4 linked regions of the Elephas maximus indicus genome follow. The protein of the gene in region 3 purifies or fractionates together with the protein of the main gene of each other region. This does not show direct contact. Links are inferred from orthologs where the notes say so. Each region holds a gene or a part of one and is shown on either strand. Other genes may lie near its edges.

Region 1 (6,909 bases), on a different chromosome or scaffold from region 3:
GTCATGGTCCCCAAACCTTCTGTTGGCCCAGGACAGGAACCGTTGCCAAAGACAATTCATCAGACATGGATTGGATTGGACAATGGTTTGGAGAGAGATGCTGATGAGGAGTGAGCTATTTGTATCAGGTGGACACTTGTGACTATGTTGGCATCTCCTGTCTAAAGGGAAGATGGGAGGGTACAGGGGGTTAGAAACTGGCAAAAACGGTCACAAAAGGAGAGACTGGAAGGAGGGAGCGGGCTGACTCATTGGGGGGAGAGTAAGTGGGAGTATATAGTAAGGTGTATATAAGTTTATATGTGACAGACTGACTTGATTTGTAAACTTTCACTTAAAGCACAATAAAAATTATTTTTAAAAATTAGTGTAAGAAATCAAATGTGAAAGTCTTCAATTACCTGAAAAATGGCTTGATGAACTCGAAGCATAGAAAATTTCATTGTCTGAAAGGTTCCTGTAAGATAATATTCTTGAATCTAATTTAGTACCTGAAACTAGGAAACCGAACACTAGCCATTTTTTTTCCTCCTATCTTTTTAATTTTCTCAAGTGAAAAAACTCCTACTTCTAAGCTTCAAAACAGATAGGACTTTTTCTTAAAATTGTACTTCAGATGAAGGTTCACAGAACAAACTAGCTTCTCATTAAACAATTAGTCCACATATTGTTTAGTTACATTGGTTGTCAACACCATGACATGTCAACATTTCTCCCCTCCTCGACCTTGGGTTCCCTATTACTGGCTTTCCTGTCCCCTCCTGCCTTCTAGTCCTTGCCCCTGGGCTGGTGTACCCCTTTAGTCTCCTTTTATTTTGTGGGCCTATCTAATCTTTGGCTGAAGGGTGAACTTCAGGAGTGACTTCAGTACTGAGCTAAAAGGGTGTCTGGGGGCCACACTCTCTGGGTTTCCGCGGTCTTTGCTAGACCAGTAAGTCTGGTCTTTTTTTTTGTGTGTGTGTGTGAGTTAGAATTTTGTTCAACATTTTTCTCCATCTCTGTCTGGGACCCTCCACTGTGATCCCTGTTAGAGCAGTGGGTGGTGGTAGGCAGGCACCATCTAGTAGTGCTAGACTCAGTCTGGTAGAGGCTGTAGTATTTGTGATCCATTAGTCATCTGGGCTAATCTTTCACCTGAGTCTTTGGTTTCCTTCATTCTCCCTTGCTCCAGATGGGGTGAGACCAGCAGAGCCAGATGGGACATTTTTAGTATTTATTGTTGCAGAGAATAATAAACAGATTTTCTGCTTTCACAAATAAGTGCAATATTGAGTCACAGAATGTTTCTGTCATATCACTTTCACAACTGTAAGCATTAACAGAAATGACATTTCCCCATCATTAAGTTTCCTATTCACTGTTTCCTTATTTTAAGTTTACTTCCTTTAAGTATCATCATGGAACGTCAGCATTTTAAAATCCAAGATAGTAAGGTGTTTACTTTGCATACCACCTCTACACTAAGTGTTTTCTATGCTTTGTCAAGAATTCACAAAATTTTCACAGGAAAAGGAAATTCTATGGGTTGGTGAACCCAGAAAATCTTCAGTGCATCTCAGATACAGAGTTATGTTAAATATATATAAACTGTAGTAATTACAGAAGGACCATTCGAGCTTCCTAGAGGGCCTTCATTTCCTCACCATCCTCTCATACCTTATCCCTGTGTAACACAGGTTCCATCCTCATCATTCTGTTAACAAAATATCACTGGGTACATGGGTTAGAGTTTTAAAACTAACCTTTGACCAAATGTAACATAGGATCAATGCGGAAAACTTATAAAACTGAAAGCACAAAGAAAACAAAATATCCATAAGCCTATCAACTACTGTTAATTTTGGTATGTTTCCAACTAGTCTCCTTTTAAGCACATTAATATGGTGCTTTTGTTTTAATAAAATGAACGTCATGATGTACATACTGATATATCAGAGTGATCTTTTACAACACTTGCTACATAGGATTTCATCACATAAAAGTACCTACCATAAATTCTTCAATGGTCTTACTAGACCCTCAGCACTTACATTTTTTCCAAAATTACAAATCTTTGCTCACAGCGCTGATGTTTTGGGATAAGCTAAGTGCTACAGCTGCTAACCAAAGGGTCGGCAGTTCGAATCCGCCAGACTCTCCTTGGAAACTCTATGGGGCGCTTCTACTCTGTCCTATAGGGTCACTATGAGTTGGAATTGACTCGACGGCACTAGGTAAGTGAGACTGTGGTTTAAAAGTCATGTCCATTTTAAGACCTTTAACGTACTGCTAACCTGACCTCCAAAGTTTTGTTTTTCCACTAAAAGTTAGGGAGTGATGCCCCTCCTTGCCCAACACTGGCTGATGTTTTTATACTCTTTTGACCGCTTTTAAAATACCAGTCAGGTTACTTTTATTTATTTACGTTGTCACACAGGCTTACTCGCAGCTCTACTGATAAATCTTACTCATTCTTAATTTTTAGGGGTTGTTGGAGAGATTCTCTCACCAGAAAAGTTCTCCTCCTGATCCACTCCATTTAACCCATCCCATCTCCTAAGGCATTCATTGCTTCTAGGAATTTGGCACTTAAAACACCCTGTCTTTACATTTTTTATGAGTGTACATTTCACCTTCAATAAAACATTCAGCTGCTCAAGAGCAAGAGCTACACAGAATTGAGGTGCAATATGCTAATCGTCCTGTTTCTAAACAATTCACCTTCCCATGGGGTCTCTGAAGGAAGTCCAGGAAGAGCAATTTCCACTCAGGGTTGGGAGTGCAGTGGCCAAACCCTCTTTGTGATTTTGAAAACCAGCAGGTGTTGAGAGGGTTTAGCAGAAGGCACTTCTTAAGCAAGTACGATCCTTAATCATGCCTGATTCATGCCAAATATTGGGTAAAGACGCAAGTAGTCCAGACCACCCGGAGTGCCCCAGGACAATGGGGCTCTGAGGGGTGCTGGTTCCACAGTGTCATGGATTGAATTATGTCCCCTCAAAAACGTGTATATCGACTTGGTTAGGGCCATGATTCCCAGTATTGTGTGATTATTCTCCATTTTGTGATTGTAATTTTATGTTAGAGAGGATTAGGGTGGGATTGTAACACCCTTACCAGGTCACATCCCTGAGCCAATGTAAAGGGAGTTTTCATGGGGTGTGGCCTGCACCACCTTTTATCTCTCAAGAGGTGAAAAGAAAGGGAAGCAAGCAGAGTTGGGGACCTCATACCACCAAAAAAGCAGCACGGAGAGCACAGGGCATCCCTTGGACCTGAGGTTCCCCCTGCTAAGAAGCTCCCAGAGAAGACCCATGACAAGGACCTTCCTCTGGAGCCCAGAGAGAGAGGAATCCTTCCCCAGTAGCCAGCGCCCTGAATTCGGACATGTAGCCTACTGGACTGTGAGAGAATAAACTTCTCTGTTAAAGTCATCCACTTGTGGTATTTCTGTTATAGCAGCACTAGATGACTGAGATACACAGTGACCCACTTCCTGCACCCTTGGTGTCCATTTTTAGCCCAGTGCCTTTTATTCTTCAATGCCCAGTTCCCAGTAAAGGAACAAGTTTCCCGTCCGCCCTTCCTGGGCAGGGCGGTAACCCGGTTCACCCAGCTGTAACGCTGAAGAGCGGATGTAGCAAGAGCAGTCACGCCCCATTCCAGGGGAGCTGGCGGCCACTTTCAAAACCCCTTGGGTTAGTCAGGCCACACCCATCTATTCCGGCCCCTTAGGCGGCCGCCTTCTGCCTGCAAGCCTGGGCACCGAGGCCCCGCCTTCCAGCGCGCCGATTGGCCCCGCCCTCCAGCGCGCCGATTGGCCCCGCCCTCCAGGGCGCCGATTGGCCCCGCCTTCCAGGGCGCCGATTGGCCTCACCTGGCTCCTGTACTACAAGTCACTTCCGCCCGGGGCGTGGTCCGGGCCACGCCCACCTGCTGTTGGGTACTTGTTACTTCGTGAGGCTGAGGATTGTTGCGTCTGATAGCCAGGCTCTGGGGGGTTTCTCTGCCCCGAAGGCTCTCGGGTTTCCGCCGGATCACCGGGAAAATGACAGTGTCTGCCGCGCCGCCCACGGCCCCTGCTTGCCGCCGCGAGAGTCCCTTTACTTCCTGGTGCTCCTTGGGAGCGGTTTTGATGTCTGTAGTGTTCCACCTGCTAATTAAACACACCGGTAAGACCCCGGCGAGGGTGCGCGCGCAGTCCGGAAGGCTGCTGGGCGGGCGAGGAGGCCCGCGCTCGGCTGACCTGGGTCGTGTATCTTATGGTGTAGGGCATGGCAAGGTTCGCCGGGGTCGCGCTGCGCCGGGATTTGGGGGGACCATGAGTTGCATGGCTTGGTTGCAGTACGGAACTGGGCGGTGCGGAGGTGGTGGCCGCCGCAGGTGTTTTTACAGCGGCTGTGCCGTGTTTACGGTGATTTAAATGAACCTTTCTTAGCTGTGGAAACCCTGGTTGCCTAGTGGTTAGGTGCTACGGTTGCTAACCAAAAGGTCCGCAGTTCGAATCCACCGGGCGCTCCTTGGAAACTCTGTGGGGCAGTTCTGCTCTGTCCTGTAGGGTCGCTATGAGTCGGAATCGACTGGACAGCAGTGGGTTTGGTTTTGGGGGGTTTCCTTAGCTGTGCTGTGAGTGCTGGCGGAGAGGCACAGCCGCCGTTGGCTGGAGCCGTGCTGTGCCGCCAGCAAGGGCCAGGGCGGTGTTTCTGGGACTGAGGCTCACCCGGAAGGGGAGCAGATGGCGTGCTTCGGTGAGGGCTTGGTATGAGGTGACTTGGGGTCTCGAGTGTTGCCAAGGTCTCTGCAGTATCCGCGTTGAAGGCTGGGGTGGCGGAGCCCAGGTACGCTTTTGGCGCAGAGTGTACTTTGCGGACGTTGAGGGGGCCCTACTTGGCGGTACCGAGTGTGGAGCCAGGAAACGCTCGTTTTGCTTTGTATGAATGAGTTCGAGCTGTGGGGTTGGGGAGGGTACATTGTGCTTGTTGTGCTTGCGGTCGGAGCAGGCACTAGATGCCAAGGTTTAGGGGGATGGAAAGGGAACTTAGCTTTTTAAACCTTCTGGAAACAGGCTCCTTGCCGGTGACCGTGTTGGTCCACGGCAGAGGAGCGCTCTTCTTTGGCAGATTGCTGCTTGCTCTTCCCCCACCCCCCCGCCCCGAGCCATCTTTCTGCTCCTAAAAAAAAAAAAACCCAATATAAAAAAAAAAAAATTTTTTTTTAAAGCAGTTTCTAATTCTATTACCTAACGGCTTTTGGGCATTGTTTTCCTTCTTTTCATTAGATTGTGCCATATTTGAGGGCATATTTGCAAGCCGTGGTACCTTGGTAGCCAAACCTAGTAAGAAATTAGTGTCCTAAGAAAGAAATGTTAATGTGGCCCCTACAGTTCATAAACTAAAGCAGAGGGTCTATCCCACTAAGCTTGTTTCATATTTTATTGAATGGGATAAGTACTTAAAAAATGGTAAAAAAAAAAAAAAATACGTGTGTGTGTGTTTCTATCGTATGCAACTTGCACAAAGGTCAGCTATTTTTTAATATTTTGGTGTGTTCCTTCTAGTCTGTGCACCTGTGTCTCTATGCCCAGGTTATCTTTAGGATCCGGTTACATGTAGAAGTCTGTAGTAGTGCAAACGGTTAACTGCTCTAGGCTGCTAACTGAAAGGTTGGAGGTTCAAGGTACCGCTCCACTCTCTCCACCCTTATTTGTTTTGTCCACTGTTATAGCCCCAGTGCCAGGCACATAGTGGGCAATCACTAAATATTAGTAGAATTTAAAGGGTGATAGACATTATCCGGAGCCCTGGTAGCGCAGCAGCTGAGAGCTACGGCTGCAAACCAAAAGGTCGGCAGTTTGAATCCACGAGGCACTCCGTGGAAACCCTGTGGGGCAGTTCTGCTCTGTCCTGTAGGGTCACTGTAGGGTCGCTATGAGTCAGAATCAGCTGGATGGCAACGGGTGTGGTTTTTTTTTTTTTGGTAGATATTATCCATAACATCATGCTAACGAATATATTATAAACTAAAAGAAATGCTATGGAAGAAAGGAGCACGATTCTCTATTGCATTTAACAAATGACTGGAAGCAGATTTTCTCCTCAGCACATGGGCCAAGCTCTGCAGCTTTAGGGTGTCTGCACTTGCTGTTCCCTGTGCCTTGGCACACTCTCCCGCCTCTCCAAATAATTAGCTCCTTCTTATCCTGCCAGCTAGCAGGGGTGTTCCCCCTTCAGAGAGGCCTTTTCTGACCACCCTCTCTGAGGTAGACAGACATTCGTCTACCTGCTAACTTTTGATCATCCTGCCAAAACTATCTTTTATGTTCTCTGTCTCTCCCCACAAGATAGACATCTTGTCTTGTCAGACTTAAGGTGCTAAAGGCCCAAATTTTGGTGCAAATAGTTAAGTGCATGACTGCTAACCAAAAGGTTAGTGGTTCAAACCCATGCAGAGGCACCTCGGAAGAAAGGCCTGGCAATCCGCTTCCAAAAGGTTACAGCCTTGAAAACCCTATGGGGCACAGTTCTACTCTGCACACATATGAGGTCACCATGAGGTGGGGTCATCTCCATGGCAACTGGTTTGGTTTTTTTGATTTGTAGCTGTTAAGTACCAGCAAATATATTTGACAGGGGCTTAGAGCCCAGGAAGAAGTTAATTCTTCCTGCTCTCCAGGAGGAAAGTTCTTTAAAGAGCCATGTTTAGGATGGCCTTTCTGTGGTGTGTAAGTAGTACGGCAGGGGCGGCTTAGGGTCAGAAAGTATCTGTCTTCCCTGTTTACGTAGACTTTCCAGAGCTCACAGAACTTCAGTCTCCCTTCTCACTGATCATTAAAAAGTTCATTTTGGTTGGGGGTTCCTTTTCTTCACCATTAAAAAGCAGTGGTGATGAGAAGAAAACAAGGAATTTTTTGAAAAAAAGAATAGTATTTAG
Region 2 (7,588 bases), on a different chromosome or scaffold from region 3:
TATCTGTCCACCCTTCCCTCTGTCCACTCAGTAAGATGCCAAACATGCTCTAATGTGTGTTTTGGGCACTCAAGAAATACTGTATTGAATGAATGACAAGGCAGGTCAGACACAGGCAACAGAAGTTAAAACCTGCTCTATGAAGCTGAGCAGGTTCTGGCATGACTGTGGTAGTGGAAGTGGTTAGGAAAGACTCATGGAGGACATGAATTGCAGGGAAAAAAAGGAAATACAGAGCCAAAAGGAGAAAAGCAGGAGGGCCCATTCCAAGATTAAAAGAAAGGGGAAAGCTAGAAGGTTCAAATATGTCCTGTGTAAAGGACAGAAAAAGGTAACCTAGGATGAAGTTTCTCAGCGAGAGGGAAGACCAGGGGGAGAACATGGGGGGCAACACTTCCTTGGAAGAAAAACATAAGGAACCAATGAGCAAAGGTGGGATTCCCCAAACATGATCCTAAAGGACAATGATGAACTTAGAAAAACGGCTGGAGGAAAAAGCCAAGCAGGAAGATAACAGAAGTTATCTGTGTCAGGATCTGTCAGGATCTGGGCTAGGACAGTAACTGCAGCAACAGGAAGACAAGAGGGCACGTCGAGTCTGTCCGGTAGGAAAACCCATAGTACTGAGGGACTATGTGACCGTGAAGGCCAAAGAGAACAGTGATACCAAGATTCCGCTCAGGTTGCAATACAGGAGGAAAGATGATATTGCTTATCCTCATATTAAGTTTCAGGAATCAGTACAGTGCTAGAGTGGTGTAAAACAGGGAGTCTTTCCCAGAGGTCAGGCTGCAGGCACACCGGGCACACCGAGTGAGCTCCTGTGGGGCAGTTATTGTGTGGAACATCAAGTTCAGAGAACTGTTAGGGGAAAAGGTGTTGGCTGGTGACATCACAGAAATTCTCTCTGTGCAGCTAACATGAGACACACAGCCAGGGCGGAATTCACTGTGTACAACCAAGACATCCCAAGCTGTGCCTTCCCCACTTTTACTTTGTTTTTGCCGACCCCTCTTTGCCTCTTCTCCCTTTTTCTTCCTTCCCACAGTTACTCAGGGGCATTCTTTTCAAACTTCTACCTCCCCCCACCCTCTTAGCTAATGCACAGGCTGTAAACTGCCCAGCTCTAGGGGGAGTTGTCACATAAACCATGGAATGAATGGCAGCTCCTAGAGTTGTGCAGTGCACAATCTCACAACCACGGGCCATGGCCTACTTGACCTAGACACGGAAACCAAATGGGTGGGTGTGGAATCCATGTGCACCATGCTGAGAATATACATGTGTCCGTGGTGAAAGGGAAAGGCTAAAAGCACTAGGATCAGAGACCACAGACATGTCACAAAATTAAGCGAGAGATGTGGGAGCTTTCTGCACACAGGTTGCAGCTGAAGCAGTGGGGCTAGATGAGCTCTCCTAGGGAGTCAGCTTGAAAAATCCCCTCAGAGGTGAAGGAAGAAAACACAGCAGCAGCTAGACAGGCAGGGGTCACAGGGATTGGGACACGTGGGCCCTGGTGCCAGCAGGAGGGGAGTGGCTGTGAGAGGCCTCCACTGGGACCCTCTGGCCATAAGTGCAGAACATTTACCCTATGTGCAGCTGGGGCCTGGCTGGGGCGGCCGCCATACTCCATGCAGTCTGTGAAAGATTCAGATCTGTCTCCCCTAGAGATTGGAAGAGAACCTGTGGTCACTTCGGAGGATTCATTGACCAAAAGGATCCAGGATTATCCAAGCAGTTAAGGACCAGCCCTCATAAAAAAAAAAAAAAATAGTGGGCACTTAATAAATGCATGTATGTCTGTGGCAGGTTAAGATAACCATGTGTATCTATTATGAAGAGGTTTTTGTGTGTATGGAGTGTAAAATGGGGGGGGGGGAACCATGAAAGATCCCTTGGGTTGGTGACAGGGCGCTAGGCCAAATGGTCAAGAGGCACCAAGGGTTTCCGGGAAGGTGGAAGACAAGGGACAGAGAGAAAGGGAAAGTAACAGGTAAAAAAAAGTTGGGAAAGGCTCTTAGGTCTTTGTGTATAAATATGCTGCTTCAAGAAAAGCTAAGAAGAAATGACTGAAGCAGATTTAGTCATCACTAAAACGATGGAAAGACTCGCACCCCGCTTTTTATTGTAACACTCTGGGGCCCTGTGACCTTTGGAGAAAGAAGTTGGTGGATTCTCTCTCTTCTCTAGAAAGACACCTCGGCGTGGGTTTGTGTGAAGAGCAATTCTGTCCGTGGCGGCTATGGCGGGGCATATCAAAGATTCATATTTCCGCCCTTCAGCTGCGGACGCGGGCCGGATCGCAGGCACCTTCCGGGCCGGGAGTTCAAGGTGAGCCGGGCTCCCGGCGGCCAACAGGTAGGGAGGGCCGGGGGGGAAGCCAGCCACCGGCCACTCCCCACCCCGGCACATGTCGGGGAGAGGCTCGGCCTGGAGGCGCGGCGACCTGCCCACCGAGCGCGGGGCCGGGCGGATCTGCGCTTGGCTCCGGGCAGCCCCGCGGCCGCTGCCGCCCCCACCCCCCGGCCGCCCGCCCGCCGCAAGCCGGCCGGGCCTCCCGGGAGCGGCCCAGGGACCCCCGGCGGCCCAGGCCGCGCGTGGCAGCCGCGCCCCACCGATCCCCTCCCCCCGGGGCCCGGCAAGCCCCCGGCGCCACGCGGATCCCCGCGCGCACTCACCCAGTGCCAGGAGCGCCAGCAGCAGCGGCCTCGGCGGCAGGCGCCCCATGCTCGCCGGGCGGGAGCTACTCTCCCCCTCCTCCGCCTTCCCCGCCGCCTCTCCTCCTCGTCCTCCTCCAGCTCCGACTGCTCCAGAGTCAGCGCTCCTCCGCCTGGGCCGCGCGCCTGCTCCGCTCGCCTCTCGAGCCGATAAATCCCAGCGCTGGGGCGTACGTGCGCCCCTTTCTCCGCTCCCTCCCTCCCTCCTCCTTCCTTCTCTCCCCGGGCCGCCTGGGGACCGGGATCGCGGCACCCGAGCCGGCCCCGCCGATCCGAATGTGCAGCCCCGACCGCTTCCCGAAAGCAGAAGGGAAGAACCGCAGCGCCCGCCCGCCCGCGCCTCCCATCCGGCGCTTTGCCAGCAACAAACACAAACTTTCCCAAGCCCCTCCCCGCTCCAGGTAACGGAGGAAGCTCCGGGGCCACCAGCTTAAAGGGGAGGAAGCGTCGGATCCCACCCAGCTCTCCCCTCAGGGTCCCCACTCCACGATAAACTTTCCTCCGACCTTTAAAAGTTGGCCATGGCAAGACTTGTCTGGGAATCTCATCCCTTTTGCCCTATCCCGGGACACCCCGTCGTTGCACCACACTGGAGTAAGCCACGGAAGTCTACAAAGCCCTTAGGCTAACTCCTCACCCGGCTAACCCTCTCGTCCAAGCTAAGCACCCCACTATCCAGCCACATGGCCCTTACTGAGAATTTTCAGAAAGGATCCTGACACCACCGATGACTGCCCTGACAGGGAACACAACAAAGAACCCCTGAGGGAGCAGGAGAGCAGTGGGATGCAGACCCCAGATTTCGTAAAAAGACCAGACTTTATGGTCTGACTGAGACTAGACTGACCCCAGAGATTATGTTAGCCCAAGACAGGAATCATTCCTAAAGCTAACTCTTCAGACAGGGATTGGGCTGGACTATGGGATAGACAATGATACTGGTGAAGAGTGAGCATCGCGGATCAATTAGACACATGAGACTGTGTCGGCATCTCCTGTCTGGAGGGGAGATGAGAGGGCAGAGGGGGTCAGAAGGTGGCAGAATGGACAAGAAAAGAGAGAGTGGAGGGAAGGAGTGTGCTGTCTCATTAGGGGGAGAGCAATTAGGAGTGTATAGCAAGGTGTTAATAGTGGTTAAGTGCTACGCTGCTAACCAAAGGGTCGGCAGTTCGAATCCGCCAGGCGCTCCTTGGAAACTCTACGGGGCAGTTCTACCACATCCTTATAGGGTCGCTATGAGTCGGAATTGACCTGAGGGCACTGGGTTGGTTTGGAGCAAGGTGTTTATAAATTTTTGTACTAGAGTCTGACTTGACCTGTAAACTTTCACTTGAAGTACAATAAAAACTAAAAAAAAAAAAAAAGGATCTTGAAAGAGCTGAAAGGAGTTTAATGGCCATGGATTCCAACCCCCTTTATTTTAGAAGGAAGCACAGAAGCCTAAAGTGGTTAGGAGACAAGGATTCACAGCAAAGTGGCGAGACCAGAACCGACTCACCACTACCCTGTGTCTGGATGAGCCTTGCTGCCCTTGCTGCCTACTTCCCTCCCTCTCCAGGACAGTTATGGCACTCATTAGAGCAGCTTCCCACAAATACACTCGTTTTTTTCAAAACCCCAAGTATATTAATAGCCACAGTACTTCATATGGAATGCACTCTTAAGACTTTACATTTATTTCTTTAAATGGACAAAGTTGGTTGCCAATAGAGACTTCTTTTTCTCCTACAGTAGGGTTTTGTGCTTTTGATTTGAATACAAACAGCCCCAGAGTACTGGGAAATTAGTTAATGTGCATTGTTTAAAACTTCACAAGGATGATTCAAACTTACAGGGAGTTATACCCATGCCCCCTCCCACCCCCACAGCCTTTCATTAATATATGCAAATCCAAGCACAGATGTTAATGGGAAAACTGCCCAGTTTGGGGGAGGAGGGCACTGCTTTTATTCTGATGCATCGTTATTGCCATTAACAAGTACAGGGTTAGCTGGGTATGAACCCTCCTGAAAGAAGCTCCTAGAAACTCATTCCTGCTACCGAACCTTTGCTGAAGCTGTCCCCCCACCCTGTAATTTCTTTCCCCTTTCTATCCCAAGCTTTTCCCAGAATTTTTCTGGAAAGTTTTGAAATTTAATTGATTCAAACCTACCTAATGCTAGGTCTTGGAAGATGCTGAAGCTACAGAGAAGGGTAAGACCTGGTCCTCCCGAAGTTCAAGTGCCGGCTCATTCCTGTTCTTAACCACTCAGTGCTCAATGTCTGAGCCACACATTTTGGCACTTGGTTGCATTCAGTGCAGCACCGCATATAATCTACTACTCCCTTTTTGGGTTTCCCTAACCTAACCTAATCCGTTGCCGTCGAGTCGATTCCGACTCATAGTGACACTATAGGACAGAGTAGAACTGCCCCATAGAGTTTCCAAGGAGCACCTTTCGGATTCAAACTGCCTACCTTTTGGTTAGCAGCCCTAGCTCGTAACCACTAAGCCACCAGGGTTTGCACACTACTCCCATCTCTGTCTAATAACGGAAGGGCCTGGAGACTGTCAGACTCTCACCTTGTTACTGCAGAGTAGATGTTTGCTAAAATTCTTGTTTAACAAACAAGTGCAACTCTGGGAATGTGCCTGACACACAGTAGGTCTCCAACAAATTTTAACAGAGTGAATTAATGCCAGGCATTGGGCTAGACCCTAGGGATGCAGAGATGACTAATGTGCTTACAATCTGAGGGGAGATGTGTAAATAAAGAAGGGCATCATGACTTAGTGTGATAGAATGTACAAGGTAGAGCAGAGACACAAGGGAGTGATCGGTCCTGGGAAAGGTTGTCAGAAGAACTTTCAAAGAGGGGATGACTTTGAAATGAGTCCTCAAAGATCAGTACGTCTTTGCTGTGAGGTAGAGGGATGAGCTTGCAATGTTGTTCTTAGTTGCCATGGAGTCAGCTCTGACTCATGGTGAACCCACGTACAACAGAAGTAAGTGCTGCCTGGTCCCGCATCATCCTCATAATCGCCAGCATGCTCGAGTTCACTGTTGCCTTTCAGCCTAGTGGGCTCATCTTCCAGCACTATATCAGATAATATTCTGTTGTGAGCCATAGGGTTTTCATTGGTAATTATAGGAGATTGATTGCCAGGCCTTCCTTTCTACTCTGTCTTAGCCTGGAAACTCCACTGAAAGCTGCCCACCATGGGTGACCCTGATAGTATTTGAAATACCAGTGGCATAGCTGCCAGCATCATAGCAACAACACACAAGCCACCACAGTACAACCAACTGACAGACGGGTGGTGGGAGCTTACAGTGGATGCATATATTTCATATGACAGACTTTTTCCTCCTCCTCCAAGTTTTATAAAATTAATTGTGTGTTTCACAATCGTGAAATAACAGCAGTTAATAGTTGAAATGGGAGTCCCTGGGTTGTGCAAACAGTTAACATGCTTGGCTGCTAACCAAAAGGTTGGAGGGACCAGTCTACCCTTACGTGCTTCAGAAGAAAATCCTGGCTATCTACTTCCAAAAAATCAGCCATTGAAAACCCTATGGAGCAACCAAAGACACAAGGAAAACATTAGCCCAGAGACTAAAGGACCACATGAACTAGAGACTTTGTCAGCCCCTGACCAGAAGAACTGGCTACCACCAAAGGCTGCCCTGACAGGGAACACAACCGAGAGTCCTGGATGGAGTGGGAGAGAAGTGTGGAGCAAAACTCAAATTCACATAAAAAAAAAGCCAGCTTAATGGTCTGACAGAGACTGGAGGAACCCCTACAACTATGGCCACCGGATGCGCTGTTAACCCAGAACTGAAACTATTCCCAAAAGCCCACTCTTCAGGAAAACATTAGACAAGTCTGCAAAACAAAAAATAATACATGTGAGGAATGTGCTTCTTAGTTCAATCAGATACACGAGACCAAATGGGCAGCTCCTGTCCAGAGGCAGGATGAGAAGGCAGGAAGGGACAGGAACTGGTCAAATGGACACAGTGAACCCAGGGTAGAAAGGGAAGTATGCTGTCACATTGCGGGGTTTGCAACTAATGTCACAAAACAATATATGTATAAATTTTTGTATGAGAAATTAATTTGAACTGTAAACTTTCACCTAAAGTGCACACGCATACACATAAAACCTATGGGGCGCAGTTCTCCTGGACACATATGGGGTCACCATGAGTCAGAATCAACTCATTGGCAATTGGCATTAATTGAAGTAGTAAGAATAAATAAAAGTGTCCAGGGAGGGTGTTGGGATTGAATTATGTTCCCCAAAAATTATGTGTTGTGAATTCTAACTTTTATGGCTGTAGTTATAATCCCATTTGGGAATAGATTGACTTTGTAATGTTAACAGGAAAGAATTAGTATAGGGCGTGTCTTGAGTTGATCTCTTACAAAATATAAAAGGAGTAGATTAAGGTGGCAGATATGGGTGAAGATACATGACAAGCCACATGAAGATTGCCCAGGAGCAGAAGTTCAGAAGAGACAGGGACCTTCCTCCAGAGCCAACATAGAACCAGCACCATGAATTGGGACTTCTGACCTCTTAACTGTGAGAAAATAAATTTCTATTTGTTAAAGCCACCCACTTGTGGTATTTCTGTTATAACAGCACTAGATAACTAAGACAAAATTTGGTGCCAAGAGTGGGGTGCTGCTCTAACACATACCTAAAATGTGGAAGCGGTTTTGAAATTGGGTAATGGGTGGGGGCTGGAAGTTTAAAGTTCCTAATAGTAAATGCCTAGATTGCCTTGAAGAGACTATTGGTAGAATTATGGATATCAAAGGCGGTTCTGGTGAGAGCTCAGAAGGAAGTGAGAAGAGCTATAAAGAAAGTCTCTGTTGTC
Region 3 (7,149 bases):
AGTGTCACCAAATTTTACATGTAGAAATCCTTGAACTGGTATGTGTTCTGCTGTGTATATTCTCAACCACAACAAAAAATAAACTATAAAAAAAAGTATTACTTATCTCGATTACGCAGTTTTTTGATGCCTGCTTAAATTTCACGACTGAGGCAAACGCCTCAACCACCCCAAGCTCTTCCCAGCCTTGAGCATAAATACCAGGATAATTGCGGCCATTTCGGAAGCTCCCACCATAGCATCCTCTTATTTTTATCATATTTGTGTCTTTACATTTGAAGTGTGTTTCTTGAGGGTAGCGTCGAGATGGATCTTGTTTTACCACAAGTGGATGGCTTTAACAAACAAACGTATTTCCTGACATTTTGGAAGCTAGAAGTCTGAATTCAGGGTGTGGTTCTGGGGGAAGGCTTTATCTCTCTGTCGGCTGTGGAGGAAAGTCCTTGTCTCTTCTGAGCTTCTGCTCCTGGGCAGTCTTCATGTTGCTCAGCATTTCTCTTCTCCCATCTCTGCTTGCTTCTGTAATTTGCTCTTCTTATATCTTGTAAGATATTGACTCAAGACACACCCTACACTAATCCTTTCTCATTAACGTAACAAAGACAACCCATTCCCAAATGGGATTATACCCACAGGCACACAGGTTAGGATTTACAACACTTGTTTTGGGGACACAATTCAATCCCTAACATTAACTATAACTCTTTGCTTTCTTATTTTGGGGGTTGCTTTAGAGTTTATAGTTTACATCTTTAAGTTATTGGCTACGCACAGGCATTCAGTTGTGTGCACCGTGACTGATTACAGATAACCCTGGGAAGAATGGGAATTTCAAAGCGCTTAATTGTGCTCATGAGGAACCTGCATAGACCAAGGGGCAGTCGTTCAAACAGAACAAGGAGATACTGCGTGGTTTACAGTCAGGAAAGGTGTGCGTCAGGGTTGTATTCTTTCACTTATTCAGTCTGTATGCTGAGCAAATCATTCGAGAAGCTGGACTACATGAAGAAGAATGGGGTATCGGAATTGGAGGAAGACTCACTAATAACCTGGGATATGCAGATGACACAACCTTGGTTGTTGAAAAGAGGACTCGAAGCACTTACTGATGAAGATCAGAGACCACAGCCTTCGGTATCGATTACGCCGCAACACAAATCAAAAATTCTCACAACGGCACCAATAAGCAACATCATGATAAATGGAGAAAAGATTGAGGTTGTTAAGGATTTCATTTTACTTGGATCCACAATCAACAACCACAGAAGCAGCAGTCAGGAAATCAAGCGATGTATTGCGTTGGGCAAACTGCTGCTGCAAAAGAGGTCTCTACGGTGTCACTGTGAGGACTAAGGTGCACCTGACCCAAGCCATGATATTTTCAACCACCTGATTTGAATGCAAAAGCTGGACAATGATTAAGGAAGACCGAAGAAGGATTGATGCCTTTGCGTTATGGTGTTGGTGAAGAATATTGAATACACCATGGACTGCCAGAAGAACGAACAAGTCTGTCTTGGAAGAAGTACAGCCAGAGTGCGCCTTGGAAGCGAGAATGGCAAGGCTTTTTCTCACGTACTTTGGACATGTTACCAGGAGAGACCAGTCCCTGGAGAAGGACATCATGTTTGGTAAAGTAGAGGGTCATCGGAAAAGAGGAAGACCCTCAAGGAGATGGAGTGACACAGTGGCTGCAACAATGGGCTCAAGGGTCACTATGAGTCAGAACCTACTGGAGGGCACCTAACAACAACAACAACTGATAACTAAGACACTGGTCAAGCTGGTGGGCCACTGGTCAGGGCACTTGAGCCACTTGGCAAGGACAGGAGGTGGTTGGTTCCTCCGGGAAAGCCACAGTGTGCCAGGACCACAAGGTGGCCGCTTCCATCGCGTAGCCCTTTCCCCGTGAGGCCAGGTGTCCTGAGCATAGGCTCCACTGTGGGCCCAGCCGCCTTCTTTGGGCCTCCCAGCTGGCTGCCACACATGTCCATCCAATTGATCTCAGAGAATGCCAGGCATGTGACTCTCCCACCGGAACCCCTAATCGCTCCCACTACAGGTCAGAATCGAAGGCAGCCCCACCCTGGCCTTCTGCCAGGTCCGGATGTCACCTATCTGCCCCAACCACTGCTTCTAGCCCTCTTCCCCTCACTCCCTCTACTCCAGACCACTGACCTAATTTCTGTCCCTCTCCCTCCGCCCCCATGTTCTGCATGGTTGGCTCATTCCAACTGCAGGCCCCATACTGGTGCCCCCTTAAGCCTCCACCAAGCACCTGGGGATTCCCTGCTATCCCCCCCCCCCCACCAGCACTGACAAGGTCAGTGAAGGGGACAGCTGTCTCTGGCACCAGGGCCTCTGGTCCTTGAGGGAAGGGGTCCTGGCTGCCCGTCTGTCCACAGCCAGTGCTGGCACATGGCCTGGCACACAGCAGGCCCCCACTAAACATGTGATACATGGCTGGAGAGGAGAGAGGAGCTGGCCAAAGACAACCTGCTTGGGGCATAGTGGGCCCGGGGCAGTAGGCACAGTGCTGTCACTCCCTTTCCTGAGGGGAGGGAGGGTCAATGTCTCCTATGCTTCCTTCCTCAGAGGCCTCGGGAGGGCCTTCTGCTAAGGACGAAGCCCACCTCTTTGACAGGAAATGTCCCCTGGGGACCACGGGAAGCTGATGGAAGATAAGGGTGCCCAGGCCTTCTAGATGGGTTTCCTTACACTTGAGGCCTGTTCTGTCTCCTTTAAATGAAAAAAATCCTAGTAAGCCCTGGTGAAGGTTTAGATACTTTTAGTACAGTATCACTTAGCTATGCACAAACATAAAAGTATGACCTCTTTGTCCTGGTAGCTCTTATATAAGCACGAAGCCAAAACAAATTCGTTTTTTACCAAGAGAACTGGAAAGGTCTTAGGACGGCAAGCAACAAGAGAGAGCGGCTCTGTGGAGGGATGCGGCAGCCACTGGGCATCCCTGGCTATTTAAACTTACAATTAAATGCAATTTAAAATTCAGTTCCTCGGTTGCACTCGCCACGTTTCAAGTGCTCAGGAGTCACATATCCTGGGTTACCGCAGATACGGAACACCACCATCATCCGGAAAGTTCTACGGGCAGCGCTGTGATGGATGGTGTTCGGTGAAATGAACCGACTGCCGGCGCGCGTGGCAGGGGGAGGCACAGTGAGGTCTGCTTCTCCAGGCCTGGCCCCACTGCCCTCACCACGGGTTTCCTGGTGTAGACCCGTGAGAACTTCATCTGGTGTCACCTACCGCGCGCGCGACCTGGGGAGGAAGCATCCCTGGCTCCCTGAGTCATCCCTCCATTTCTGCAATAGCCCAAAGCAAGAAGCAGGGGTTGGCCCCGCGCCTCCAGGGACGCAGCGGGAAGTGCGGGGCTGGCACCCCTGAGGGGTATCCATACCACCCAGGATGGACATGAACCTCAAAACACTTGGGGGTTCTCCCACAGGTCGCTCGGGCCTCCTAGATACGTGAGTAACCTTTCAAAGAAAGACTCCCCTAACAGCTGTCTGCAACTCCACTTTGTAAGGGGCAAACGCGTGGCAGCCTAAAAGTGTGGCGTTTTGGCCCTTCCGGCCGGCGACCCACTGACTCGGGCCTCACCGCCCACCCCGGGTCCGGCCCCGAAAGCGATTGTGAACTAAGAGCGCTGCGCTCTGTGCATAGTCGCCATCACCTCCTTCTCGGAGCCTTCCTCGATTGTCCAAGGCGCCAGGATGGGAAGGGTCCTCCCCAGGCCCCCGGCTGCGCTCTTCGGCGGACGTTGCATGCCTGTCCTCAGGCGCAGCCTGGCAGCGGTCCCCCGGGGCTCGGAGGGAACAACGGCTCGGCGGCGCCTATCCGCCGCACCGAGGTCTGAAACCCCGAGGTCTGCGTGCAAGGGACGGGGGAGTGGCCGGGGACGCGACCCAGCGTGCGCTCCCGCCCCGCCGCCCTTCCAGGGGCGCCCAGGCAGACAGCACCGCGCAGGCCCCGGGGCACGCAGCGCGGCGGGGCGGGGATCGGGCTCCGGCGGCGGGGCGCGGGGGGGCGAGGCCTGGCGGAGGGGCCCGGAGCTGGACCCGCGGGGGCGGGGCTGGGGCGGGGCCACGGTGTCCTATAAGCGGCGCGGCGCGGGGCGCGCGCCCGGCCAGAGAGCGAGCGAGCGCGCAGCGGCGGCGGAGACGACCCCAGCGCGCACCCGGCCAGGCTTCCCAACGCCCCCGAGCCCCCAGGCCCCGTGCCTCCGCGCCTAGTGCGCCCCGCGCCCCGACCCGCGCCCCGCGCCCCGCGCCCGCCAGGCCCTCGCCGACCGCCCAGCCCCCGCCGCACCGCCGTCAGCGCCCGCAGGCCGCCAGCCGCGCCGCCATGGGGGTGGAGGGCTGCACCAAGTGCATCAAGTACCTGCTCTTCGTCTTCAATTTCGTCTTCTGGGTGAGCGGCTAGGGGCCGGGGCGCAGGAGGTTGGGGCGCGGGGGGCCGGGGCGCGGTGGGCCGGGGACCGGGGTGCGCGCCAACCCCGCAGGCCCGGGAGCCTCGGTAGGCCTGGCCAAAGGGCGCAGCCCGCGGGGCCGCCGCTGCGGGCCGCCAAGTTGCAGACACCTGTCGGCGTCGGGGCGGGTGGGGGCCCGGGGTCGGTAGGCCGCGGCGAGGGGGTCGCTCGGGGCCACTGCGCCCCCTAACGGCGGGCCGGGCCGAGGGCCGGGTTTCAGGGCGCCAGCCTTTGGGCGTCCGGGACTCAAAGCCCCAGGGCTTGGGGGCCGCTGTGCTGGCGACCTGGGCGGTTGGAGCCGGCAACCCATAGGGGAGGGGTCCGGGCCGTCTTCACCCGGGGACGGCCCCGCTCGGGGCGGGAGCCGGGGCCACCCTGCCGCGCCGGACGGAAGGGGGGTTCGGGGGCGGGGCTCCTGGCGCTCCGCCCCATGAGCTCATCGGGCCGCCGCCTCTAAATGGGTGGTGGGGAGGGAGCGCTTGCTGGGTAGGAGCCCTGGGGGCCGGCATCGCGCTCCGCCCCTAGCCCAGTCCATCCTCCTCTCCGCAGTCCCCCTCCTAAGTCTCGGGTCGGCCCCGGCAGAGGGCTGACCGGAAGCGCACTGGCCCGGGCATGCCCGTGTGTAGGGGGCCCGCACCGTCTTGGCCCAGCTCTAGGGCGCCGACCCCGCGCACCCCAGCCCCCACCACACACTTGGATTCCAGGGGCTGGGAAGCTTTGAGAGGCGTGGGCCTGGCCATAAGAGTTGGCACAGGGCAGGGGGTATCCGAAAGACCTGGCGGCTCCAAGCTCGGGGCTTGATCCCCGGCGTCGGTGCCGAGTGCTGGCTGGGATCTCCACTTCGGGAAGGGTGGCCCCCATGGTCACTGGACTGCAGCCCCGGTGTGGAGGGTCTCCCGGGTCCTCTCCCTGCCCCAGAGCAGCCTTCTCCTGATCTTCGTGGTAACTGCTGGGGAGTGACCGGTTGTGTCTTTTTCTTTGTTTCCATTTCTGGCCAGTCTTGGAATTGGGGAGGAGGTGGAGATTCCTTGCTGGACTGGAAGGTCTGTGGGTGCGTGCCAGGAGCTCCATTCTACCCTCGGACATTCTCCTTGGCAGTGACACCTCTCTGGTACCCTTTCTAGCTGCTTTGCCGTCCCAGTCTGACCCACCCTTATGGCGGGACAGTGTCCCGGGTGAACTGTGATTCTCAAGCTCAGGCAGTGACCAAAGGAAACCAAACCCAGTGCCGTCAAGGTGATTCTGACTCATAGCCACCCTATAGGACAGAGTAGAACTGCCTCATAGAGTTTCCAAGGAGGACCTGGTGGATTCAAGCTGCTGAGCTTTTGGTTAGCAGCTGTAGCACTTAACCACTGCGCCACCAGGCAGGGGCAGTAAAGTTGTAAAACGGCCCCTGGAGCAGACTGGGCTGAGACATCGGCTTCCCGTCTGTCTGGCTGGCTGGCGTGGGTTTGCTTCAGGGAGGTATTTGGGAGGGGCGCAGGGGAGGGCAGAGGCTGGACTCACTCCCAGCTGGGAGTGAGGGTCACATCCAGCCTGCTGGGGCCGGGAGCTGACCTCGGGAGGGTACCCTGGGGTTCCTGGAGCCCAGGGCCTCTCCCCAGGGCGGGGAGCAGTGAGGCTGCTTGTGCTTACCCTGCCCAGGACGGCCCCAGGAGCCTTGTAGGAACCAGCAGTGGTCCAGGGTAGTGGGCGATGGGTAAACTGAGGCCCTTATGCCCCTCAGCTGGCCCCTGTGTGAGCCGGACTATGACCCTGGTAGGGAAGGAAAGGGTAGGCAGAGGAGGGGGCTTCTCAGAAGTGGGTTTTTGTTCCTGGGGAGTCTGAGGGGAGTGGGCCAGGCTGGGCATCACCCTGGATAAGCCCCTCTGTGGCTGATCCCCAGACAGGCCTGCCCCAGGATCGTGGCCTGGGTGAGTGTGGTGGTTTCCCAGGCAGCGGGTGCCCTTCTTTCTTTGTTGTGACTCAAGGAGACTTTCCAAGGCTCCTAGCTGCTCCACTCCCTCAGAGCATTGAGAGCTGTGTCGGCCCACAGTCACCCCCCCACCCTGCCAACACCACCCTGAGTGCCCTGCACCCCGCCCCCCCGAGTCCTCTGCATCAAAGCCAAGGGTGGGCTCCTCAGAGTCAGCCTGGGCGGGGTCTGTTCCTCGGCTGCCTCACCCTCTAGAGTGAGGTCCCAGGGACCCCCACCGGGGTTTGTTGGGGGATTAACTAATATGATAAGTGCTGAGCGAGGGGCTTGGAACGGAGCGGGCTTGGGAGACGGGTCTGGGCATGGTGGCCCGGCAGGGACTATGGCAAGGGAGAGCCTTCCCATCAGTCTAGGAAGCGCCCTGCAGGTGAGTGGTTCTGACTGCCTAGTGGGTCAGCGTTCCGGGAGCACTAGGGTCGTGGGGGGCCAGGAAAAGCGGCTGAGGTCCTTTTCCAGAGAAGTTCCCACACGGGGGGAGGCAGATAAAGGACTGGCATGCTTCTCCTTTGCTGCTGCAGAAAGACCTGCCCGCCTGCACCCCACATCTGTTACATCCCACCAGCCTGCACCCCTGTATCCATGTGCTGTCAACTGCCTGCACCACACATCCGTGCTTTCCCACCCACCTGCACCCCTGTATCCACGCGCTGTCAACTGCCTGCACCCCACGTCCGTGCTT
Region 4 (7,386 bases), on a different chromosome or scaffold from region 3:
TGTCTTTGAACTGAACTGAAAGTTCTTGAAGCAGGGATCTTTGTTTTTCCAGATCTGGCACAAAACCTGACAAAGTAGACTGAGGAAGAACTTCCAGAGAGATGGGGGGCCGGGGAGGGAGGGACGGGTAGAACCTAAGGGAATAGAGTATGTGAAGAAAGAATGATGAATAGTATTAAATGTCTTGTGTAAATCCTGTGGGTGGATGTATTCCAAGTATATTGTAGGCAGTCAAGAAACTTTTGAAGAAGGGAGTAAATGCAGAGCTTGAGATAAAGCCTGGAAAGTGTTCATTTGCAAGAACAGGTTCACATGCATGGTAGAGATTGGACACCAATTATAGATGGTGAAGGAGTGAGTAGGAGGTTAGGAAGTGGAGACAACCAATGTAGGCAACTATTTCCAGACCTTTGGTTATAAAGAGGAGAGGAAAGACAGGACTAGGACAATAGCAGGAAAGGCGTCTCTCCCTCTTGCCCCTCAAGATGAGCTGTTGTTGAGAAGCGCCATTTGTGGGAACTCCTTAGGGCATAGTTTCTCAGCGTAGGAACTGCCAGGAGTGCTAGAAGTGCAGGACTCCAGGCCGCACCTGCAGGGATTGTGATTTTTTAGGTCTGAGGTGGGCTTCCTTCCCGGGTAAATCTGATGCAGTTATTCCTTAGACCACACTTCCAGAAGTGCCTCCTTAGGCGCTTTCGAAATAAGGAGGCTGTTACCGCCTGCTTCTTCTTCCACTTCCTCACGCAGGTGCAGGAGGAATATTCAGTATCTTCGCAGATTACCAGGATCCGTTAGGGGAGGCTGTTTTGTCGTCTTAGTCATTTCTTTTTTACCATCCGGCTGTCTGCTGCTTGCTTCCCTCATGGCCACTTCTGTGGTGTCCTCCAAGCCTCATTGTCCCATGGTTCTTCTTTGTTCCTAATTACCGTCTTCTGTGGCTTCTCCATTTCCCTGAGAGAAAGTCCGGCCTTTTATAGACAACACCAGCCAGTGACAATGCCTCTCTGTTTCTGGCCAGTGAGCTGACCAAAGTAGAGAGTTGAACTCTTAAGCTGTTCCCAGCTGTTTTCCATGTTACTCTCAGCTGTTCTTCACCGCGAAGGCCTTTTCTTGCTGCTTCTGGGTTTGGAGCTCTTCCAGAGGCATGAGCATTTCACAGAGCCCATCTTCAACTTGCCAAAGCTTATAGAAGGAAAAGGGCAATGGCATTTAAAGCAACGTTTTAAAGCTAGATAGCTTCAGAGTATTTGAAAACTTTATTTTAGTGGTAATTCTCTAAATTGTATGACATTGTGAAGGGTTTTTTAAGGCAGGTTAGTTTCATTAAAGTAGCCTGAATAGTATCCTAAAGAAGCATGCATCAGCCCATACATGGAGCAGATGTTTGTTCTGTTCACTTTGTGTGGAAGCTGTTCAGATGCTGCATTCATCACGGTGATGCCTTTCCTCAGCGTTCCATGTCTTTTTAGTCCTTTCAGTCAGAGCTTTGGAATTGAAAACATCTGAATTGCCTAGAATTATAGTCCACATGGATTTATTGCATCTTAAACCTTTTAGGCAGGCCTTAAAAGGTTAATAGCTAGGTATTTCTCACTTTTGTGACACTCAGCTTTTGTTGGTCTCTTGGATGGAGTCACCACTGAAATGTAAGCAAAATTGTCAGCTTGTGGCTTAACAGGACTGGCTGATCTGCTCAGGATTGCAAAGTGGATGACTATGCGAGTCATTCTTGTGCCCTGGAAACCAGCATTTAACAGAGGAAAGCAAGTACCCCAGGGGTGCCCTGAAGCACAACTTAAAGGACTGTGGCTGTGGAACTAGCATCCTGGTATTTGTGCCCCTGAGATGGAGGCCTTTAAAAGAAATACTCATTTTTTAAATTAAGGTAGAATTCAGTTAACTTCTTCTTGCTAAGGGAAGTTTACCAAGAAAAAAAGAGTACCACACAGGCCATAATTATTTACATTGAGAAAGCAAAGAGAAGAAAAAAAGAAAATTAAAAACAAGAAAAACACTTTGCGTATACATTTTATGTATATAGGAAACTCTGGTGGCACAGTGGTTAAGAGTTTGACTGCTAACCAGAAGGTCCACAGTTTGAATCAACCATCCGCTCCTTGGAAACTATATGGGGCAGCTCTACTCTGTCCTATAGGGTTGCTGTGAGTTGGTATTGACTGGATGGCAGTGGGTTTGGTTTTTTTTTTATAATTCTTTGTCATTCTCAGGTCTCCGTGGTTGCAGTATATGTTTGTATACTTTTGTTTTTACATAGCTGTCATCATAATGTGTACTTTACATCCAGAATTATTATTTTAATGATGCTGCGTTTTATTACTTTTATGATTGCCTAATAGTTCATCAGGCTGATACACTTAGCTGTTCCCCTGTTACTGGGTATAGGATGTTTCCATTTCTTCCTGTTGTAAATATACCATATAGTACTACATTGAACATTCGTGTGTCTGTGGGTGTATGTGTATATCTCCTTTTGTATTTTTATAAATCGTATTTTATTGTGTTTTTGTGAAGGTTTACACAGCAGTTTGGGTTCCCATCCAACAATTTCTACACATGTTGTTCAGTGACATTGGTTACATTCTTCACAGTGCGTGAACATTCTCATTATATTTCCATTCTGGTGGTTCTGTTTCCATTAGTCTAGTTTCCCTGCCCTTTTACACTCTCATCTTTGTTTTAAAGTAGTTGTTGACCGTTTGGTCTCATACAGGTGAGTTTTTTAAAGGAGCATATTACTTACGGGTGATATTCACTATTTTTTGAGCCAATCTGTTACTTAGCTACAAGGTGACCTCAGAGGTTAGTTTCGGTTCAGGGTTTGAAGAGTATCTCTGGGCAGTAGTCTCAAGGAGTCCTCCAGTCTCGACCAGTCTAAAAAGCCTGTTTTTTGTTTTTTAATTATCTTTTGTATTTTAAATTATTTCCTCAGTAGCTGGATTGCTAAGTCATGGGGTAGAAACATTTTTTATAGTTTTTGATATAGGTTGTTGAATTATTTCCCCCCAAATTATATGTTTACAAAGCTGCCAGCCATGCATATTGATTTTTCTCAGCCTTCTCTGCAGTGATGGTTTTAATGGGTAAAAAAAACATTTTTTCCAGCAGTTTATCTTTTATTGCTTTGTTTTATATTTCTTTGGTAACTAGTAAAGCTAAAATTTTACCCTTTGCTATCCCACACATACACATACACATATACCTATATATATATATATGTGCTTCTTTCTTGTATTTTTTTCTTGTGGGAGGGACAGATATTTATGACAAATTCTCAGGCTGGCTGCTAGTCCCAGTGCAGTAGTCAGATGATAGCCACAGTTTCAGCAACCAGGGGCTAGAGCCGTCTCTGACCAAATCTCCTAAAGCATAGCTTATTGACATTGTGAACTCTTGAATTCACAGAAAAGAGTTGTGTACGTAATGGTTGGGCATTCTGCTTGATAGAATATTCTGATTATTACTATTATAGATTACACCATTTTCAAATATTCAGAATCAAATATAAATCACTAAATCAAAACTATATAGACTTATTAATTTTTCTTTAGAGATTCTGAAAGGGACTCGATACATTCAGGGTCCTTTTATGAACTTTTCGTGGGTCTAGTTTGTGGATCTAGAAAATGTAGGGACTTGAACCGAATCTTTGACTAATTAATTCCATGCACAGAAGTTGATTTTTCTTAAAGAAAGCCATCAAATTCAAAAATTGAGTCAGGGCCTTGTGTAGGATGTTGGTCTTAACGCTGCTGAACGCTATACGTTGTACCATATATATGACCCATATATACACACACACACACATATATGTGTACCTATGTATGTGTGTGTATATGTGTGTATATATGTATAGTGTAGTGCACACTATAAACACTGATAAACCCCGTTGTTACAAGCAGGAGGATGACATGATGGAGTTTTTGAAAAGTTCACTCAAGCTGGCACTCAGCCTTGGAGCGACTGAGGAGTCTGGATATGCCTGTCTGGCTCCCTGGGAGCTGCAGGAGATAATAGAGATTATCTGGGACGAGACCTTGGATGGCGTTTATGGTGTTAGGGAATACTTGACACTATTATTCTTTCGGAGTGTGGCTAATAAAATGTTAAAACATATTTGACTGGAGAGAGGCAGGAACGGAGCCCAGAGACTTATGGAAGTTATTTTAGTTGTGTAGGTAACAGGTAGGGTAGTGGGCTGGGCGGGGGAGGTGGGTGATGAGGTTGTGGAGGGGTGCTGGAGAAGAAGGTATTGAGAGAGATTATATTTATAAAATCAACAGGCAGGGTGGCTGGGAACATTTTGTATTTAATGTATCTTGTTTTATTAATGATGTGCATTTTGTATTTCAGATGAATTTACAACTGATTTTCTGGATTGGACTGATTAGCTCAATTTGCTATGTGTTTAGCCAAACAGGTAAAAAAAAAAAAAAATGTTTCATAGCTGTGTTTTCAGTATCCTGTCTCATTCTTTGACCAAGTATATTCCAGGGAAAACCTAGGTCAGATCATGCTGCTCCTTCTGAAAGCCCTACACTGGCCCCATCGCACTCAGAGTAAAACGCAGAGTCCTTAAAATGGCATACAAGGTCCTGCACGGCCTGGCTCCGCCAGCAACTGCTGCCACCCGGTCTCTCACCTTATTTCTCATTCTCTCCTGGGCTTTTCTTATTTTCTCCTGGGCTTTCCTTGCTTTCGCTCAGAGGCACCAGGCATCCTTTTGCTTAGAGCCTTGGCCTTGGGTGTCTCTTCAGCCTGAAGCGGTGATCTCTCAGATATCTGTATGATTCTGTCCCTCCTTCAGCTCATGACTCAAATGTTAGCTTCTCAATCAGGCCTTCCCTGGCGATCGTATTTATAGTCGATTGCCCCTCCCCATACTTCCCTTTCCCTGCTTTGTTTTTTCTCCTTACCATTTATCTCTTTCTAACATGCAGTGTGTCTTATTTATCTTGTTTATTTGTCTGTCTCCCCTGCTAGACTGTAAGCTCCACGAGGGTAGAGACTTCTGTTAGTTTTCTTTACTGCTGTATCCTCAGTGCTTGGAATAATGTCTGGCACATAAAAAGGCTTCAAATAAATATGTGTTGAGTGAAAGAAGGATTCTACCAGTGTCCCCAGACAGTGATCATCACCCCTTTAAAGTTGCTCTGACCCACCCATTCTGGGGAGTAGGTCTGGATCAGCTTGGTAACTAGGCTTGTAGGCTTCATACTCGATAATCATATATGGTGCATTGTTTGTCCTTGCGATCCTGATTTTTCATTATTTTCTCTCTTGAAGCTTCAAGTAAAGGTGTCTGTTATTTCTTTTCCTGACAGATGAAAATAGATGTTTAAAAGCAAATGCAAAATCATGTGGAGAATGTATACAAGCAGGGCCAAATTGTGGATGGTGTACAAATTTAGTAAGTAAGATTGTTTGAGTCTTTACTATGTTTTCTCTAGTAATTTAGTACGTCCTTGGGACGTAGCAGATAGGAATTTTCATTTAAAACAATCTTTAATGAATAAGTGTTATCTGTGTGTAAAGTATAAGGCTCTGGTGGTACAGTGATTAAGCCCTTAGCTGCTGAGAAGTTGGTGGTTCAAACCTACCAGCTACTCTGCAGGAGAAAGATGTGGTAGGCGGCTTCCGTAAAGATGACAGCTTTGGAAGCCCTGTGGGCAGTTCTTCTGTGTCCTATAGGGTCACCATGAGTCGGGGTCAACTCGACAGCAATGGGTTTTTTTAACGTGTGAAAGACTGTGGTGGTCTAGAGCTGTGTGTTGAGCCTGGCAGCCACCAGTCACATGTGTCTAGTGAGCACTTGAAGTGTGGATGGTCTACACTAAGAATGTTGTAAGGCTCAAATACATACCAGATTTCGAAGACTTAGTATAAAAATGCTCACTAAATTTTGTTAAGGTGATTACGTGTTGAAATGATAATACTTTAGATCCATTATTAAAGTGAATTTCCCTTGTTTCTTTTTAGTGTGACTACTAGAAAATTTTACATTAACTTCTGTGGCTTGTCCATTTGGTTGGCATTATATTTTTATTGGACTGCTTCCCGTAAAACACTAGGCCTTTAGGTTTAGACTGCTATAGATTTTTCTCCTTTTTTGAGGGGGGAAGGTACAAATGAACTTGCACAATTATATTTGATGTAAACTAACACAGAATTGATTGTATCCTAATATAAACTCAGTGACGGTAGGGTTTGAATTTTATTCACTGTTATTCTCTAAATAACTAAGCCTTTGATGCTTTGAGGCATAATTTTTAAATTATTGAATGCTATTTTGGAGTATGTTTAGTGGAATTTTATTTAGGTGTTGATTATAATCTTAAAGTTTCCTGTATTGGCACATATTTGGGAATGTGTAATTTACTAGTTTCCTTTGGTGTAGTATCTTAGGTTTGATGATAGCGTGGGTTTGAACCATCTGGCCCTTGGTTTTCCTTTCCATTTATTTCTCTAATTTCATATGTGCTCTTATCAGTGTTTGTTTCCCTTAAAAAAAAAATTTTTTTTTAATTTAAATATACTTACTTTATACAGCACTGTGAAACTGGTAGGTAATAAACACCATGTTTGACTGAACACAATGTGATCCCAAATAAATGGCAATCCTCCATTTCCCCCAAGTCAACATTAGAAAAAGTTTTTGGCCTACTAAATAAATAATTTTTAGGGATATATGTGACATAGTTGTCAAATGTCTACTTATAATAATTTATTGATAATACTTTTATGATTTATATTTACATATTTTAAAATGACATACATGTATACACACATAAATACTAATGTCATTTTTTTCCCACTCTCGAATTTCATGATAACGTTTTATTTAAAACCTTTACGTATGTCTTTTACATCTGTGCTTTTGTTTTCATGAAGGTACTTTTTGAGTCATCTGATAACGTTTTTGCTTTTATCTCAGTTTGAAGTAGAGCACGTTTTGAATTCCTGTCATTACTGAAATTCTGCCTCCAAGCCATAAGTATCCATTCACTTGTATACCATTAAGACTTTTTTTTTTTTAAAATCACCCTGTGGAAATATGTTCACGACCCTTGCCTTATAATTATTTGGCTCTATTGCTTTTCAAAATAAATCTTAAAATGCTTGTTTATGGTAATAGGCAATGCTATTCCAGGAGAATACTTACTGAAATAAAATCTGTATTACATTTTTTGGTTTCCTTTTAAAAATACCATCATTAGTAATGTGCTTTCAGGCTAAAGTGTTTTCCGTACACATTGGCTTGTTCATAATATTGTAAATAAAGAGTGCAATATGAGAGACTTTATAAGGATTTTTCAAAGGGACATTTTGGGAAAAATATTAATATTTGGGCATATAATTAGTGGCCAT

Evidence for each region.
Region 1: the proteins of CD81 (region 3) and CD46 purify together in Homo sapiens (co-immunoprecipitation; 3 studies listed by BioGRID and IntAct, with this or other methods). This does not show direct contact. The link is inferred for Elephas maximus indicus from reciprocal best matches to the Homo sapiens genes CD81 and CD46.
Region 2: the proteins of CD81 (region 3) and PTGFRN purify together in Homo sapiens (co-immunoprecipitation; 7 studies listed by BioGRID and IntAct, with this or other methods). This does not show direct contact. The link is inferred for Elephas maximus indicus from reciprocal best matches to the Homo sapiens genes CD81 and PTGFRN.
Region 4: the proteins of CD81 (region 3) and ITGB1 purify together in Homo sapiens (affinity purification with western blotting; 4 studies listed by BioGRID and IntAct, with this or other methods). This does not show direct contact. The link is inferred for Elephas maximus indicus from reciprocal best matches to the Homo sapiens genes CD81 and ITGB1.

Annotation. Positions count from the first base shown.
Region 1 is NC_064836.1:17,663,026-17,669,934, forward strand, and holds the start of CD46 (membrane cofactor protein), read left to right. Parts: upstream 1-3,891; 5' UTR 3,892-4,027; coding exon 4,028-4,151; intron 4,152-6,909. UniProt on the Homo sapiens protein: Acts as a cofactor for complement factor I, a serine protease which protects autologous cells against complement-mediated injury by cleaving C3b and C4b deposited on host tissue.
Region 2 is NC_064821.1:163,065,935-163,073,522, forward strand, and holds the start of PTGFRN (prostaglandin F2 receptor negative regulator), read right to left. Parts: upstream 3,003-7,588; 5' UTR 2,728-3,002; coding exon 2,679-2,727; intron 1-2,678. UniProt on the Homo sapiens protein: Inhibits the binding of prostaglandin F2-alpha (PGF2-alpha) to its specific FP receptor, by decreasing the receptor number rather than the affinity constant. Functional coupling with the prostaglandin F2-alpha receptor seems to occur.
Region 3 is NC_064825.1:135,506,747-135,513,895, reverse strand, and holds the start of CD81 (CD81 antigen), read left to right. Parts: upstream 1-4,144; 5' UTR 4,145-4,368; coding exon 4,369-4,434; intron 4,435-5,009; exon of another isoform or gene 5,010-6,714; coding exon of another isoform or gene 6,715-7,149. Other genes in the region: uncharacterized protein LOC126081186, read left to right, coding at 6,715-7,149. UniProt on the Homo sapiens protein: Structural component of specialized membrane microdomains known as tetraspanin-enriched microdomains (TERMs), which act as platforms for receptor clustering and signaling.
Region 4 is NC_064822.1:6,452,876-6,460,261, reverse strand, and holds the start of ITGB1 (integrin beta-1), read left to right. Parts: upstream 1-4,371; coding exon 4,372-4,438; intron 4,439-5,342; coding exon 5,343-5,428; intron 5,429-7,386.